Sus scrofa: one gene and its partners. The protein of the gene in region 1 interacts with the protein of each later gene in a pairwise test. Links are inferred from orthologs where the notes say so. Each region holds a gene or a part of one and is shown in the gene's direction. Other genes may lie near its edges.

The links.
Region 2: the proteins of NDN (region 1) and MIER2 interact in a two-hybrid assay, tested with the Homo sapiens proteins (2 studies listed by BioGRID and IntAct). The link is inferred for Sus scrofa from reciprocal best matches to the Homo sapiens genes NDN and MIER2.
Region 3: the proteins of NDN (region 1) and SERTAD3 interact in a two-hybrid assay, tested with the Homo sapiens proteins (2 studies listed by BioGRID and IntAct). The link is inferred for Sus scrofa from reciprocal best matches to the Homo sapiens genes NDN and SERTAD3.
Region 4: the proteins of NDN (region 1) and EEF1AKMT1 interact in a two-hybrid assay, tested with the Homo sapiens proteins (2 studies listed by BioGRID and IntAct). The link is inferred for Sus scrofa from reciprocal best matches to the Homo sapiens genes NDN and EEF1AKMT1.

What each region holds. Positions count from the first base shown.
Region 1 is NC_010443.5:142,411,446-142,414,165, forward strand, and holds NDN (necdin), read left to right. Parts: upstream 1-1,242; coding exon 1,243-2,220; downstream 2,221-2,720. UniProt on the Homo sapiens protein: Growth suppressor that facilitates the entry of the cell into cell cycle arrest.
Region 2 is NC_010444.4:77,911,799-77,915,930, forward strand, and holds the start of MIER2 (mesoderm induction early response protein 2), read left to right. Parts: upstream 1-1,332; 5' UTR 1,333-1,798; coding exon 1,799-1,831; intron 1,832-4,132. UniProt on the Homo sapiens protein: Transcriptional repressor.
Region 3 is NC_010448.4:48,709,951-48,714,206, reverse strand, and holds the start of SERTAD3 (SERTA domain-containing protein 3), read left to right. Parts: upstream 1-1,456; 5' UTR 1,457-1,610; intron 1,611-3,897; 5' UTR 3,898-3,903; coding exon 3,904-4,256.
Region 4 is NC_010453.5:1,092,319-1,096,587, reverse strand, and holds the start of EEF1AKMT1 (protein-lysine N-methyltransferase N6AMT2), read left to right. Parts: upstream 1-1,469; 5' UTR 1,470-1,668; intron 1,669-4,269. UniProt on the Homo sapiens protein: Protein N-lysine methyltransferase that selectively catalyzes the trimethylation of EEF1A at 'Lys-79'.

The sequences.
Region 1 (2,720 bases):
TTGGGTGTGGCTGTCAATTTCTGGAACCAGTCAGTTTGTGTGAAAGCGCAGAGGTGGGGTCTACACGAACACACCCGTGAAGGCTACATCAGTCATAAGGGGAATTAGGGTCCTTCCTGGACAAACAAGTAGAAAGACATCATACTAGTCTGTGCTAATAAATACAGCAATCTTTGTGTGATGAGATCCTAATCAAAAAATTAAAATTACATCAAAATTACCCAAGGGAAGTAGAAAAACCAAAATCAATGACCATTCAAGCACCTAACAGTATCATTAGTACATTGTCTTCAAGAAAGTTTCAGTTGTACATGTATTGACTACATTCTGCATTTTTCCTTCATAACCCCCTGGACTTGGCAGTCAGGAAATCTTTTTTTTTTTTTTTTTTTTTTTTTTTTTTTCCCCATAGCAGGCTACGGGTAGAATTGGAGCTACGGCTGCCAGCTGACACTACAGCCACAGCAACACTGGATCCAAGCCCTGTCTGCAACCTACACCATAGTTCATGTCAACATCAGATCCTTAACCTACTGAGCAAGGGCAGGATTGAACCTGCATCCTCATGGATACTAGTCAGATTCCTTTCCGCTGTATCACAATGGGAACTCGCAGTGAATCAATCAATTTTTATTGCTATCTTTCATGATTCTGATATCCCGCATCTTTTTCAGAGTTGACACATTTTCTTGGGTGACCCTGATTGTTCTGTCAGTTTAAATTCTCACACTTGTTATCCAAAACCCAAGCTTATGTGCCAACCTGGGCCTTTCTCTGAAACTCACATCTAACTTGATTCTACATATACCCAATTGAACATTTCCTAAGAAATTCAGCTTCAGCATCTTGGAAGCTTAAGTTTCCATCTTTCCTCTTAAACTTGCTCCTTGTCCAGTGCTCACCCATGTCGCTCCTCCCCCCGGCCCCAGGACCGCCTCCTTAGCCCAAACTGGACGACTGTGGGTCATGAGGCCAGTATTCCACTAGGCCCCCTACCCCTTTGGGACCTCAATACACCCCAGCCCTCCAGGCGCCCCGCCCCTACCGCCAGCCGGCAGGGCCCCCACAGACCACGGATGCGCAGGCGCACTAGCCTGTCCCGCCGCCGCCCCGCCCCGCCCGGCCGCTGCGGAAGGCGCCGCGCGCAGCAACGCGCACTTCCTCTCCAGGAGTCCACCGAGGGAGCGCAGAGTCGAAGAGCTCCTGGACGCAGCGGCCGAGCCCTTGCCAGACGGAGCAAACATGTCCGAACAAAGTAAGGACGTGTGTGACCCCAACTTTGCAGCCGATGCCTCCCACTCCGAGGTGCACAGCAGCCCTGGGGTGGCCGGGGGGCCCTCTCCGCCTGCGTCCCAGGCCGCGACCCTCGCAGGGCCAGAGATCCCTCCTGTAGGCCCACCCGACGCCCCTCTGGCCTCGCCGCCGCCCCAGGCCCTGAGCGAAGAGGGAGACCCAAAGGCTCTACAGCAGGCCGCGGAGGAAGGCCGCGCCCACCAGGCCCGGAGCACAGCCCAGCCCAGCCCAGCGCCGCCGGCCCCGGCCCAGCTGGTGCAGAAGGCACATGAGCTCATGTGGTACGTGCTGGTCAAGGACCAGAAAAGGATGATCATCTGGTTCCCAGACATGGTGAAAGATGTCATCGGCAGTTACAAGAAGTGGTGCAGAAGCATCCTGAGGCGCACCAGCCTCATCCTCGCCCGAGTGTTCGGGCTGCACCTGAGGCTGACCAGCCTGCACACCATGGAGTTCTCGCTGGTCAAAGCTCTGGCGCCTGAGGAGCTGGACAGGGTTGCTCTGAGCAACCGCATGCCTATGACAGGCCTCCTGCTGATGATCCTGAGCCTCATCTACGTAAAGGGTCGCGGTGCCCGTGAGAGTGCTGTGTGGAACGTGCTGCGCATCCTGGGGCTGAGGCCCTGGAAGAAGCACTCCACCTTTGGAGATGTGAGAAAGCTTATCACTGAGGAGTTCGTACAGCAGAACTACCTGAAGTACCAGCGCGTCCCCCACGTCGAGCCCCCTGAGTATGAGTTCTTCTGGGGCTCCCGTGCCAGCCGTGAAATCACCAAGATGCAAATCATGGAGTTCCTGGCCAGGGTCTTTAAGAAAGACCCCCAGGCCTGGCCTTCCCGCTACAGGGAAGCTCTGGAAGAGGCCAGAGCCCTGCGGGAGGCCAACCCCACTGCCCACTGCCCCCGCAACAGTGTCTCCGAGGACTAGCAAGGTCTGGAGGCAGATTGATGGTTTCTGACCCTCACCAGGGTGGTGGAGGGGTGGGGGTGGGACATTAGAGTATTCAGGATTTACAGTGCAGTATTTCACGTGTAACTTTTACGTTTTCAGTACAGTGCTTTTATACCTTTTAATGCAATGTTGTATTCATTTCAGTAATAATTAGGTAGTGTGTAGGATTCATGCATGTTTGTTTATAAGTAAGCTCAGTTGGTGCTTTCGCTTTTGTGCTACCTTTCTTGAATTTTTTGTACCAGAGACGTGCTAAACTTATGAAATACATTGAGACATTTTCCATCTTATTCTTTTACATGGGACTGATGATGTGTATGGGGGTAGACAGGTACTAGAGAGTTTGGACGAACTCACCAGTAAAGCTGGTCTAACCAAGAGAAAAGTCAAGACCTCTCTCTCTGTGATCTTGCTGGGCACAGGAAACATCTGTCTGGAGTGTGGTGATGTGGACTTAAAGGGGCTCAGTATGGACA
Region 2 (4,132 bases), on another chromosome or scaffold:
AGCTCCCTCCAAGGGATCTTCTCTGGTAGCCCCAAGTTGACTCAAGCCCTTCTAAGGGGGGTAGGGGGGTTCTCCCTTGTCTAGTAGATTCTTCGAGAGTTGGATGCTTTCCCACCAAGCGTGGAGCTCTCCGCATCTCACCTCCTCAAGGTGATGCTGATACCAACGACAGGTTGGAAAGGAATGGGGCTCCAGAGTCCCCGGGTCCCCGATTCCATTCTGCCCGGTTTGTGCAAGCCAGAACCTGGGTGCCTCCTGCTCTCCCCACCTTCACTCCAGCAGGGTTGTCCTCTGTGCCCACCCCTCTTCCGCTCCAGCCATCACCCTAATCCCTGCTCCAGCCTCCTCACTGCATCTTCTCCCGCTCGCTCTGTCTACACCTTCTGCCCTGATGCCCCCACTCGTCTCAGTCTGAGATGTAAGACGCGGAGAATCCTCCGTCCTGGCGCAGACTCATAATGTCTAACCAATTAATTTCCACCCAAGACAACGGCAGGTCCAGAGTCAGTGGCCCGTCTGGCCATCAGAATCCCTGACCATCTTCCGCGCGGGCCCCCGGCTCCCCAGCGACGACGGATGGGGCAAAAGTGCGGAAAGTTCCAGAACCTTGCTCCCCAGACTTCAGTCCCTACTCCACCATCGTACCCGGGTGGCCCGACACTCTGGCCTCGATGTCCCCATCTGTAACACGGGAGCACAACTGGGAGTTGGCCAGAGGATTAGAAGAAGGACATGAGACCAGAGTTCTAGCCTGACAAAGTGTGCTTATCGGGAATCGTTACTTTCATCGGCGGCGTACCCACCTCCCGGGCCAAGTCCAGCGGGACCACGCGCATCCCACGCCCGCCCGCGCGTCCCCGTCTGCGCACCTACTACGCGCCCGCCCGCGCCCCGCCCCCGGCCCCGCCCCGGCGCCCCCGCCCGCCTGGCTCCACAGCCAATGAGCGCGCGGCCCCGCATCCGGGGATCCCGGCGCGGCCGCCGCCTCCCGCGCACACACGGCCATGGCGGAGGTGAGTGAGCGGGCCGGGGAGCCGGCCCCCGCCCCAGCCCGTGTCCCCGCCGCCCGACCCGGCCGCGTCGGGGCCCCGGGCGCCAAGGACCCCGGCCCAGGGCTTGGGGCCGGGCCGCGGCGCTGCTCCCGTCGGGGCCCGAGGGGCACGGGGTTCCGTCGCCTGCCACCCCCGGCCTCGGCCCCCCCTCGAGGCTGCCACATCGTGGGCGGCAATGCGCATGTGCAGGGCGGGGGCGCGGGGTGGGGAGGGGGCGGGGTGGGGCGCTCGCCCGCGGGTTCCCGCCCCCAGCTCGCCACCCCCGGCTCCCGCCCGGTGTGTGCCAACTTCGCGGAGCGCTCTCTCTACCCGGACCCCGCCTTCGGGACCCCAGCCCACAGACTCCCAGGGCGCTGAGCCGTGGAGTTGCGCTCCCTCCGGACCCCTGGCAGGACTCGAGGTCCTACCTGGGGCTGGCTCGCGGGCAGCGAAGGGCTTCCTTTACCTACGCCTTGAAGTTACTCACTTTTCCAAGCTTCCTCTCTGTTCGGAGAGCAGGCCCAAGACCCCTTGCCCCCTGTCCTTGGGGCCAGATAGATTTTGGAATTGAGTTTTTCGGATTTGAGGACTCGTGGTGTTTGGGACTATTATGCTTCATCAAACTCACCTAGGATTATAGGGGTTAAGATAGCAAATTGCTGCATGTCGCGTCAAGCCAGGGATGAAAAACTTTCACTTTGAGGGCTTTTTTGCATGTTGGATAAGAAGGTGGGAACCTGCTGTCATCTTATGAGGCCCTAGTGAAGATGAATGATGCACCTGCTATGGACTCAGTCACTGTGAGTCTGAGCGTTCTGTCTGGGGATGCGGAGCAGGTCCCTGGCCCCAGCAAGTGATCCTCACCCAATGGGGAGGCTGCCCAGGCCCGGGGAGGAGCAGGCACCGCCTGGTGAGGAGCATTTTCGGTTGCTAGGCCTGGTTGTGGGGCTAAGTTGGGTGTTTACATCTTGGCACATCGTGGGTAGATGGCTGTGGAGGGCGGAACTGGCCATTCTTTCCCACCAGTGACTTTCTCAGGGGCAGTAACAGGCCCAGCCTTTGCGCCAGAGAGGGTGTGGGCATCTTAGTGGAGGGCCGGGCCTTCCTAGCCAGTTTCTGCCTTATGCTGGGTCCAAGGGGTCTTTCCAGAATAGTTCTGCTTCCATAGGGGGCATTTAGGAAACTCGAGTTTCCCAGATAGGGGCTGGACTTGTGGGAGGGAAGCTCATGTAGGGCCTCCCACTGGCCCAGCAGGGGTATGGTGGTCTGTGTGGGTCTGGCCCAGGGGCCTGCAATCTTGGCCTGGCAGGTGGCTGCGTGTCACAGGTGGGTGGGGCAGCCTCCCCAACCAGCCTGCCCTGAGAGCTGCTGGGTTTGGCTGCTGATTCTGCCCTGCCCAGCGTTCAGCCCCTGGAACCCTCATGGCAGCTGGTGTCCAGTTTGGTGTGGTGCCTGTTGAGTGAATTGGTTTCTGAAAGAAAGCCTGTATGTCTGGCTCTGTGGCAGGCCCTGAGGGTCTGGCTGTGAGGAGACATGGTCAGAGGGAAGCTGGTCAGTAAAGGATAAGAGGTGTGCAAATGCCAGTCGTGGGCATGGCCAGGCTCTGCCCAGGAGACCTGTTGTGGCTCCAGAGCCTCTTGCTCTGTGTGACCTTGGGCCGGTCACTCTCTGAATGGGGAGATCTCATGAGATCTTGGCTTAGTGCTTGCACAGAGAATCTGAACCTTATGCAGTCACTGAGAACCAGCTGTCTTGAACCCATAAAAATGGTGATTTGTAACCTAGCAGTGCATGCTGATCAATATTAGCTGCCAGATTTTTGTTGTTGGCAAAGCAGCTATCAGCACTGTGAGAGAAGGTGGGGTGCTTTGTACTGTTTTACTTGTGGGTCCTGCCTTAATCTTTGAAGAGCTTTGAAAAACTTGGAGTTCCTATTGTGGCTTAGTAGGTCAAGAACCTGACATAGTATCCGTGAGGATGCGGGTTCAATCCCTGGCCCTGCTCGGTGGATTAAGGATCCGGTGTTGCCGTAGCTGCGATGTAGGTCGCAGATGTGGCTCGGATTCTGAGTTGCTATGCCTCTGTTGTAGGCTGGCAGCTGCAGCTCCAATTTGACCCCTAGCCTAGGACCTTCCATATGCCACAGCTACAGCTGTATAAAGAAAAGGAAAAGAGGAAAAAAAGAAAAACCTGAGTACACCATCTCTGTCTTGTACTTAAAAGACACAGCTTTTTGTTGTCCTTTGTGTCAAGTTTGTCCTCTCCTTGACCCTTGGCCCAGTGATGTGGTCCCCTAGGATTGCCTCTTGTACCCCCCCCCGCCCCCGCCCCAGGCGCCTTTTGTTTCCTTGTGCAGTCTGCACCCTTGGAGGGACCTGATGCACGGTACTGTTCCACAGCCCTTCAGGCCTCTGCCTGGAGACGGCAACGCAGGTCCTCCTTGACCCCCAGTTGTGCAGGCTCCACCCATTTTTCTCCCCTCAGTACTGTACATGTCCAACTAGACTGACGGCTCATGTGTGGACAGGCAGAACCTGTTTGTCCATTGACTGCTGTGCCTCCTGGCCAGAGTGGGTGATGGGTGGGCTGTCAGATGGGGGATGGAGTGCTGGGTGGTCCAGTGGGACCACGTACCTCTGCTGGGTAAGGGTGGAGGGTATCCTGGTTAATACTGCTGCCTGATGGATGAATCACTTTGAAACTCAGTTTCTGGAAGCAGCCATCATTTTTAGTTACCTCTGGTTGTTCTGCAAGTTGACGGGGCTCAGCCAGGCAGTTTTCATTCAGGGTCCCCACAGTGCATTTGGTTGCTCGGCTGAGCCATCTCCAGTGCAGGGAAGCTTCCTCACCCAGGTGTGGCTAAGACGCTGGCTGCTGGCACGGCCTCCCCTGCAGCTTGTGCTTCCTCACAGCTTGGCGGCCAGTGGAAACTGCACTGGAGGGTGCCTGGAATCCCTCCCACCAAAGTCCCTGGCCCAACCAGTGCACAGAGAGGGGGCCTGCAACGGGAGTCTGGGCTGCCTGGGAGCCACCACCTTGGAGGAATGGCTGTCACGTGAGGCTGTGGATGGAGCTGGAGGGAGGGCTGAATGGGAAGCTAC
Region 3 (4,256 bases), on another chromosome or scaffold:
ACTCTCCCCCACCTTTGTCCCCCAGAGACACCTTTCCCAGGACTGAGCAAACCACTCCTCGCTTACCTAACCCCCAAAGCTCTCCCCCAACCCCAAATCCATTCCCATCCTATACTCTTCTCCACACAGCTGGACTACATGACTGACAAATTCCAACCGGCGAGGACTGGTCCAAAGAGCCTTAAACCTTCCTTCTCCGGAGCGGCCTGGAGAAAACTCTCTCCTCCCGTGGGCGGGAACGTGTTGTGGGGGTGGGGCAGGGCTGGTTCAGGCTTTCTGGGCACCGGCCGCACTCATTTCCTCCCGCTTTATTTCTTCTGTTACAGTGTCTGCATTTAACAAACTTTCTTTCACTGGGCGCCTGCCTTGTGTCCGGCCCTGTGCTAGGTGATGCTGGGGACCAAGCAGTGAGATAACATTGGTACGTGTCCCCAGGAGGCCCACAATCCAGTGACGGCCAGGGCCAAGGTCGGGGAGACTCAGGCAAAGGAGTCAGGGTCGCGATGAGGGAAGCACAGGACCCTGTGGGAGGCCAGAATGGGTCTGGACCATCCCTGGAGCCTCAGAACTGAGAGGAAAACTTTGAGAAGAGTTCTGACTCAAGAGGCAGCCTGGGAATTGAGGGCGTATTTTCAGGATGGGAAAAAGTTTCAAGATCCAGAGGTCTTTTTAAAAGTATCCTTGATTTTGACTTACAATGTTGTGCCAGAGGTCTTTTTTTTTCCCCCCTCATTTTCGAGAACTTGATACGAACCTGGCATTGTTGTAGGCACTGAAGATAAGGCAGGGAAGAAAACCGAATCTCTGTTCACGGCGGTGGAGCCATTTTAGAAAGAGTGAGTCAGTCGGTGCGGCAGGATTGTAGAGAGCAAGGGAGAGTGCATCAAGCCAGACCTGAAGGGCTTTAAGGCAAAAAAAAAAAAAAAAAAAAAAAGTAGTTTGGACTTTGTCCCCACGACAGTGGGGAGCCAAGAGCGAGTTTCCCGCAGCAGGGGTGCCATCCTGAGGGAGGAAGGGCTAAGATCTCCCAGGCAACACAGGCCGCACCAAACTATTGGCTGGCCTTCGGTGCGTCATCCTCCTCCTCCGCAGGGTCCGCCCTCCAAAGCTAGGGGCGCGGCCTTCGTGAGAGGCGCAGCGGGGTCCTCCCGGTAAGCGGGGTGGGGCCGGGCGTGCCTGTCAATCTTCCTCCGCGACTGGGTCCAGGCTTGGTATAAAGGGGTCGCAGAGAGCAATGAAGACGGTCTTGGAGCGAGGACAGTAGCCGAGTTGAAAGAAACAGTTTTGGTGCAACATCCACCCTAGAGAGGTGGCCCTGCCTCCCGGCAAGTCAGAATCCTTTAAAAGGTCCGCGGAGCGAAGGAGGGGAAGGCGGGTCCGGCGTCTCCAGGCGACAGGCGGTAGCTCCGCCTAGCCAATCCGCGCCCTGCGGTGGGCAGGACTCCAGCCAATCATGGTTCGCGGCTCGGCTCCGGGCGGAGCTGGGTGGGCCTGAGGCCAGACCGAGAGGCCCCGGGGTGGTGAGCGCGGCCCCTACCCAGCACTCGCAAAGGAGGGTCGCAAAGCCGCGGGCGTTCCCGGAGGTAGTTGTTGCGAACCTGGCAGTTGAGGTGAGGTGTGGCTGCCTGGCTTGGGATCCGCCTTGGGTTGAGGGAAGTGGAGGCGCTCCGGAGAGTTGTGGAGGCGGGGTATGGGTGGGAGTAGGGGGCGCAGGTTTGGAGAGACTGAGTTTCGAGATCCTGAAAGGAAGGCGAAGTTTTGGGGACAGGGTCTTCAAGTGGAGGGAGTCTGAAGCTGGGACACGGGGTGTTTGGGAAGCGAGAGAACTAGGGAAGGAACTTTTGGGGGCAGGAAATCTGAAGATTGGGATAATTCAGGTCTCCGGGACGAGTTAAAGTCGGGCACTACTGTTCAGGAAAAAGTTTGAGGCGTTGCGCTGTGATCCCGAGCATTTGGAGAAGCGAAAGAAATAGGGGCAAGGACTCGATCTCCTAGACGCAGTGGTGGAGAGGGGTCCTGGGGAGAGGAGAGTTCCCAGTCAGGTCTTGGAGCCGGAGGGGGAGTCGGAGATGAGGTTGAGAAGCATTTGAAAGACCGGAGAATAGGGGAAAGTTGACGGGGAGGGTCTCAAAATTCAGATACCTAGCGGCCCGAACAGAGCGCATCGGAGAGCATTTGTAAGTCTTTGAGCGATGTGTTGGGGCCTGGGTCTCTGGACCCGAGAGTAGTTTGATGGAAGAATTTGGGACTTTCTACGGTCCGCAGGACCGGTAGAAAGCAGTTTAGAATCGGAGTCGGGTGGGGGAGGGGTGTTTCGGGCGTGGAGCTCAGACCCGCAGCCCTGAAGGCAGCGGAGGGCGGGGCTCGGCGGGCGCCGGGCAGCTGGACGTCCGGGTTCCCTTCCCCCACCCACCACGGGCCGCTTTGCGCATGCCCTAAGGGAAGGCGGGGAAGGTGCGTCCCTGCGGCTTGCTGAGCCCTCCGGGGGTTGTAGTGCGCGTTCAACGTCAGTACGTGTACCTGGAGGCTATTGGCCCACATTTCCCATAAGCCCCAAGGACCAAGTTGGGGCGTGTCTGGGTTCCGAACTCGAACTTCGTCGAGGGGGCGGGGCCTGTAGAGAGCGGGGGCCTGGTTGGATGGGCTGGTCGGGGGCGGGGCTTGGCGTGAGTAATGTTCTGGCGAGTTTTCCTACCGGACTCATGCTGGAGAAACCTGAAGGCAACCACAGAGGGAGTGAGGGAGGTATTTTCACTGTTGTTGCGAGAGCTCCCAGTCAGGAAAAATATTTGTTCTCTGTAAAAGAAGAGTCTCCACAGATAGGTTCCCTATCAGGGTTCCAGGTGGCTAGAATATAGTAGACATTCAAAAAAAAAATTTTTTAAGTGATTGTGGACCTGTATTTTATTTTTTGTTTCATTTTGTTTTCAAATTAAAGAAATATATATATTTTTGTCTTTTCTAGGACCGCACCCGCGGCATGTGGAGGTTCCCAGGCTAGAGGTCTAATCCGAGCTATAGCCGCCGGCCTTCGCCACAGCCACGCCAGATCCAAGCCTTGTCTGCGACCTACACCACAGCTCAAGGCAATGCTGGATCCCTAACCCAATGAGCAAGGCCAGGGATCGAACCTGCAATCTCATGATTCCTAGTCGGATTCGTCGGGAACTCCTCAAATAAAAATATTGAATGAGGAATTCCCGTTGTGACTGGACGGTAAGGAACCCAGCTAGTATCCATGAGACTGGTGTTCAATCCCTGGCTTTGCTCAGTGGGTTAACGATCAGGCGTTTCCGTGAGCTGCGGTGTAGGTCACAGATGTGGCTAGGATCTGGCGTGGCTGTGGTGTAGGCCAGCAGCTGAAGCTCCGATTTTGACCTATAGCCTGGGAACTTCTATATGCCACAGGGTGCCGGCCTAAAAAGAAATTTTTTTTCAATAAATAACTGGCAATGAACTCTTGTTCATTGTGCGTGTAGTATCACTTCCCAAGATCTCACAGCTGAGCAGTGTGAAAGGCAGAAGTCAACCCTAGGAATCTCTACTTGCAGGCCAGGTGTCTGTACTCAGTATCTGTCTTGTGTGTGTCGTGTTTGAAAATAAGAGTATTGTGAAAGAACAGCCTTAAGACTCCAGAACTTGAATTAAGATTCCTTGTAGATGAGGAAATTGAGTCTCAAGGAAGTAAATTCACTACTGGAGGCCACATGGGCCAGTAAGTGGGATTCAAACCCAGCTGTGTCTTGCGTCCAGATCTTGTTTTGTTAATCACATACATATACTCTCTTCCTTAGCCTTGTGAGATTTATTTGGGCCATTAAAAATCAACAGCCATACAGGAGATTCAGGATTTGAACTAACCCTGCTGTGTCTCACTTGCCCCTCTTCTTACCACAGGGCATCATGGTAGGCTTGAAGAGGAAACACTCAGATTTGGAGGAGGAAGAAGAGGATGAGAAGTGGGACTGGAGTCCCACAGGCCTTCGGAGCTACCAGCAAGCCCTGCTCCGCATCTCCCTAGACAAAGTCCAGCGAAGCCTGGGCCCCCGAGCACCCAGCCTTCGAAGGCATGTCCTCATCCACAACACCCTCCAACAACTCCAAGCAGCGCTTTGCCTGACGCCTGCACCTGCCCTGCCCCCCGAGCCCCTCTTCCTGGGCGAGGAGGACTTCTCCCTGTCGACCACCATCGGCTCTATTCTCAGGGAGCTGGAGACCTCCATGGATGAGACTGAGCCCCCTCCCAATCCAGTGGC
Region 4 (4,269 bases), on another chromosome or scaffold:
CGAGTCCAGTTTAACTTGACAAGTAATTTTCCCTTCATGATAATAAAATTGTCTCAATATTTAAAATTTTTTTATGATTTGAAGAGCCATTAAATTACAATGCAGATGTTTTCATGAGGAACATTTTAATCTTCCTGTATCACTGTGACAACCTGTCTGAGCAGGCAGCATTATTGGTGGAGGTGTAACTATTTGAACTCTCTGACAACTAGGTTCATTTTCATTGTAAAATAACACAGTAACACATTATATGCAGATTAACTGTCTCACAGGCTATGAAAGCAGTTTAAACTTAGCTTAAAAACATCTGTTTTAAACCAAAAATAACTTTAACTTAATCTCAAACTTAAAATAACTTTGCTTTAACTTAATCCTTTCTATCAAGTAAACCAAGGCAGTTTGCTGGGTTGGAACATTACCTCTAAAGCCACACTGCCGTGAACTTGGTTAGTTGTTTCTTGGGTCGTGTTATTGATTTCTCTTGTGTGTTTTCTTTCCTGCTCCTTTGTTAAGTTACACCTGTTCTTGAAATGCCTGGCTTAGTGAATGTGTCATGAGTTCAAAGCAATTAAAGCGTGGGTTGCTATAAGCCTGAAAACAGTATTTAAAATAGAAACTATAGTATTCCCAAAGTTGAAAACACGGTTTTTGTGGGTTTTTTTTTTCCTATCCTCACCTTATACCAGAAAGGATTTGAAGCTATTCAGCAGACCCTAGCTTAGTAAGATTATGGAATTGGTAAAGAAAATAAAGGAAAGGAAGGTAGGAAAGGAATACAGATTGATAGCCTCGGGGAATGGTAAGTAAATAGAGCATCAGGATTTGTAACCGCCAAGGTGGAAGGGGACTTGACTTTCCCTAGGTGCCGGTGTGCCCGGGTCTGCTGGGTGCTCTAGGGATGAACGCACTCCTCACTGAAGGCTCTGAAAGACTATATACCATGGGGCTGACCAAACTCTCCTACGTTTTCAGTTGTTTACATAGAGAACGTTATTACTTCATAATTAGATTATTTGCCGAATTAGTAGCTGTCTTATTTCAGCATGGAGACAGCTGTGCGAATCCTCTGCTTGGGCGGCTGTTGCATTCTTCACAGCAAATTCCAACATGACAGGTGCAGGTGGCTGGTCTTAGTCACACCGAGGAGGAAATTGCAGGGTTTAAAAGGCTTTCCCTAATCTATCGCTATTATAAATACTCAGTTTAATATATGAATTTCTCGGTAGACTGAGAGAACAAATTAGCAGATTTCCTTTGTATGTGTTTAACTTACCGGGACTCTAATTAAAACCTTAACTATCTTTTATTGCCACCACCAGAAGCACCTGCGGAGCCGAGCAGCTCCCAGCACCAGGCGGCCGGTCTGCGGCGCGGCTCCCAGCGGCCTCCCCCGCACCCGCCGGAGGGCGTGCGCATGCGCGGCCGCGGCCCCGCCCGCGGTTCCGGCTCGGCGAGACGGAGTGCGCACGCGCGGGCGCCGTCGGCGCTCGGGCCCGGCCCCGCGGGACTACGGCGCACGCGCGGACGCGGGTTGTGAGGGGCCGAGGCGCCGCCTCTGCCTCCCCGGGTCCCGGCGCGGCGCGCGGGGCGTCTCGTCGCGGGCTCGTGCGCGGGGCCTCGCTTCACAGGGCGTGGTTTCCCCTCACGTCAGAGCTTCTGAAGGAACAGGTCAGTGGTTTTAGAGGCGAGAGGAGCGCGCCGGCCGGGGCCGGGCGCCGGCGCGGGTACCCGCTGGGCCCCGGGGGCTCCCCGCCGGCTCGCCGCGCCTGGGCCTGGACGGCCTCGGGGGCAGCGCTGGGTTTTGTCCACGGGGAGGGAGGGTCGTGCCTGAAACTTGACCTGTGGAAACAGAACTTTGTGTGTTCGAGACGCGGGTGGACCTGCACGTTGCCTTTTGCGTCGTGGGTCCCACCATTTAAGTAGTTTCAAGTCGTGCGAAGCAGCACAGCCCCGCAGGGGCCCGTGAATCCCTCGGATGCTTCCCCTTAAGGCGTCGCCCCCGCTCGTGCAGTTCGCTCCGCAGGCCCCAGTCTGCATCCTTCGCCCACCCTCGGGGCGGAGGTGAAACGCCGGCAGCTGAGCTGCTCTCACCTGCCCCCACGTGCTCCCCAGGTGCTCTCAAGGCATAAACGGTGTCCTCCAGCCTGTCCACGGTCATTCGCCTGCCCTTCTCTCTAAAGCAGGGTCTCTCCCCTGGCATCCTAGCGTCAGTGACATTTGGGGCCGGGTAGCTCTCTGTTGTGCAGGGTGGTACTCCAAACTGTACGATTTACCAGCATCCCTGGCCTCTACCCGTTAGATGCCAGCACCACCCTCCCCAGAGAAGCGCTGATCTAGAGTGGGAGCCACATGAGGCTCAGCATCAGTTTAAAATGTAAATACAGCACTTCCAGCTCTTTGGACTTAAAACGTCACAGCACTTTCAACAAGCCGCTTAGAAAATACTGACATCATGCTAAGGATATGATAAAGGGTGGGCCTAAGTAAAAAAGGGGTAGCAGGTTAAAACTAAGGTTCATTTAGCTTTTAGCAGTGCCCAGTTCTCAATGCTGATACCCCAGGCCGAAACGAAGCCTTAGAACTCGGCCCATCAGCTTGCTGTGCGATGACTGCCGTGGCTCAGCCCGCGTGCACTCGCACTGATACTCCGTCCTGTTCTCCCTTCTCGGGGGACTCCCACCATGAGTGTGCTGGCCCCCCTGAAGGTGTACCCCTCTTTATTCCATTGTGTTCACTCGTCATTGTCTTAACTCTCCCTACATCCTTTGGTTCTGTTAGCATCGTTAGGAAGTTATTTTAAAGTCTTTGTCTAGTGAGTCTGCCATTTGATCTGTTTCAGGGATGTGTCTGTGCCCTTGCACAGTTGTGGTGGTGGTGGTGGTTGTGAACTAATTCTACCCCTTCTCCAGGAATTGGTGTTTTGTTGTTCTATTATTACTATCACTGCAGGCTGTTTTTGTGCTAAAGATTAGCCTGAAGAAGCCTAAGTTCTTCCTAGACATGCACAGCGACTTTCTTAATTTCCTCCGTGTATTCCATTGCTATTTAGGATGGTCTGGTCCTCATGTTTCTGGCCCCAAAAGGGAGAAAAGAGAAAAAGGAAAGTGGGGAGGAGGGGCTAACGCCTTAAATCCTGTCCGAGGTGTCTCTGCTGGAGGGAAGTGCTTGGTGGTGGGAGCCTTATAGTGACGTCCCCCTGCCTGACGGTGTCTCCGTGCGCAGAAGTAGCTGTCAGCCACCAGGTCACAGGCCCCGTTACCTGAAGGACAGGGTCCCTGTTGCCCACCGTGCTCCCAGCGGTTGCAGACAAGCTGCTCCTGGAGCTGCTGAAACTGTGTTCTTGGATTTTTGCCCATTGGCATCCACAAACTACAGGGCCAGCTGATGGCCAGAGTTGCTCATGTGTTCCCTGCCAGTCAGTCCTCACGGGCACATGGAAGTCCTGTCACACACCCCCAGCCACACATCACAGAAGGTGTGTTTTCTCTTGCTGCCCCGTCTCAGCAGTGAAGGCCTTGGCCTGGTTGTCTCTTTGTTGCTTTGTCCCTGCACGGACCAAGCTTCATGCGGCCTTTCAAGGCGCACGGCGCCTCTCCTTCCCGTGAGAACTGTGACTAGCGTTCTGCTCTTGTTTCAGGAACACTGGCCTCTCCACGTCCTCACTCAGCTGTAAAGTTGATCCCTGAGCTCCACGCAGGAGCTCGTGCACAGCTTCCTGTCACAGGAATGAGGAGCCACTGCCCCGTTAAATGCCCAAATTGACTGAAATTAACCACATCTAAACTCTTTCCCTTGGCTCTGGATAGACTCTAGTGATCCAGGAGAGTCCCGTTAGACACGCGGTGCCGGTAAAATGACCTAGGTCCAGAGGGAGTCTTCCCGGAACCATCTAGTAACCTGTACACGTCCGTGCTCATGGCTTCCACGTTGACGTTGCAGCCTTTAGAACTGCCTCGCCTTTCTGACCACTTTCTTTGGAAGCTGTAAATGATGGATCTGCTACATCTGTGTTGCAGTCTAGGGTTGATACAGTGATAACTGTATTTCCTCAAATCTGAAAACATGCTGACTAGTAAACTTATACTCATTTTTTTTTCCATGGCACATGGAGGTTCTCAGGTTAGGGGTTGAGTCAGAGCTGTAGCTGCCGGCCTGCACCACAGCCACAGCAGCACAGGATCCAAGCCACATCTGTGACCTACACCACAGCTCACGGCAACGCTGGATCCGTAACCCACGGAGCCAGGCCAGGGATTGAACCTTCGTCCT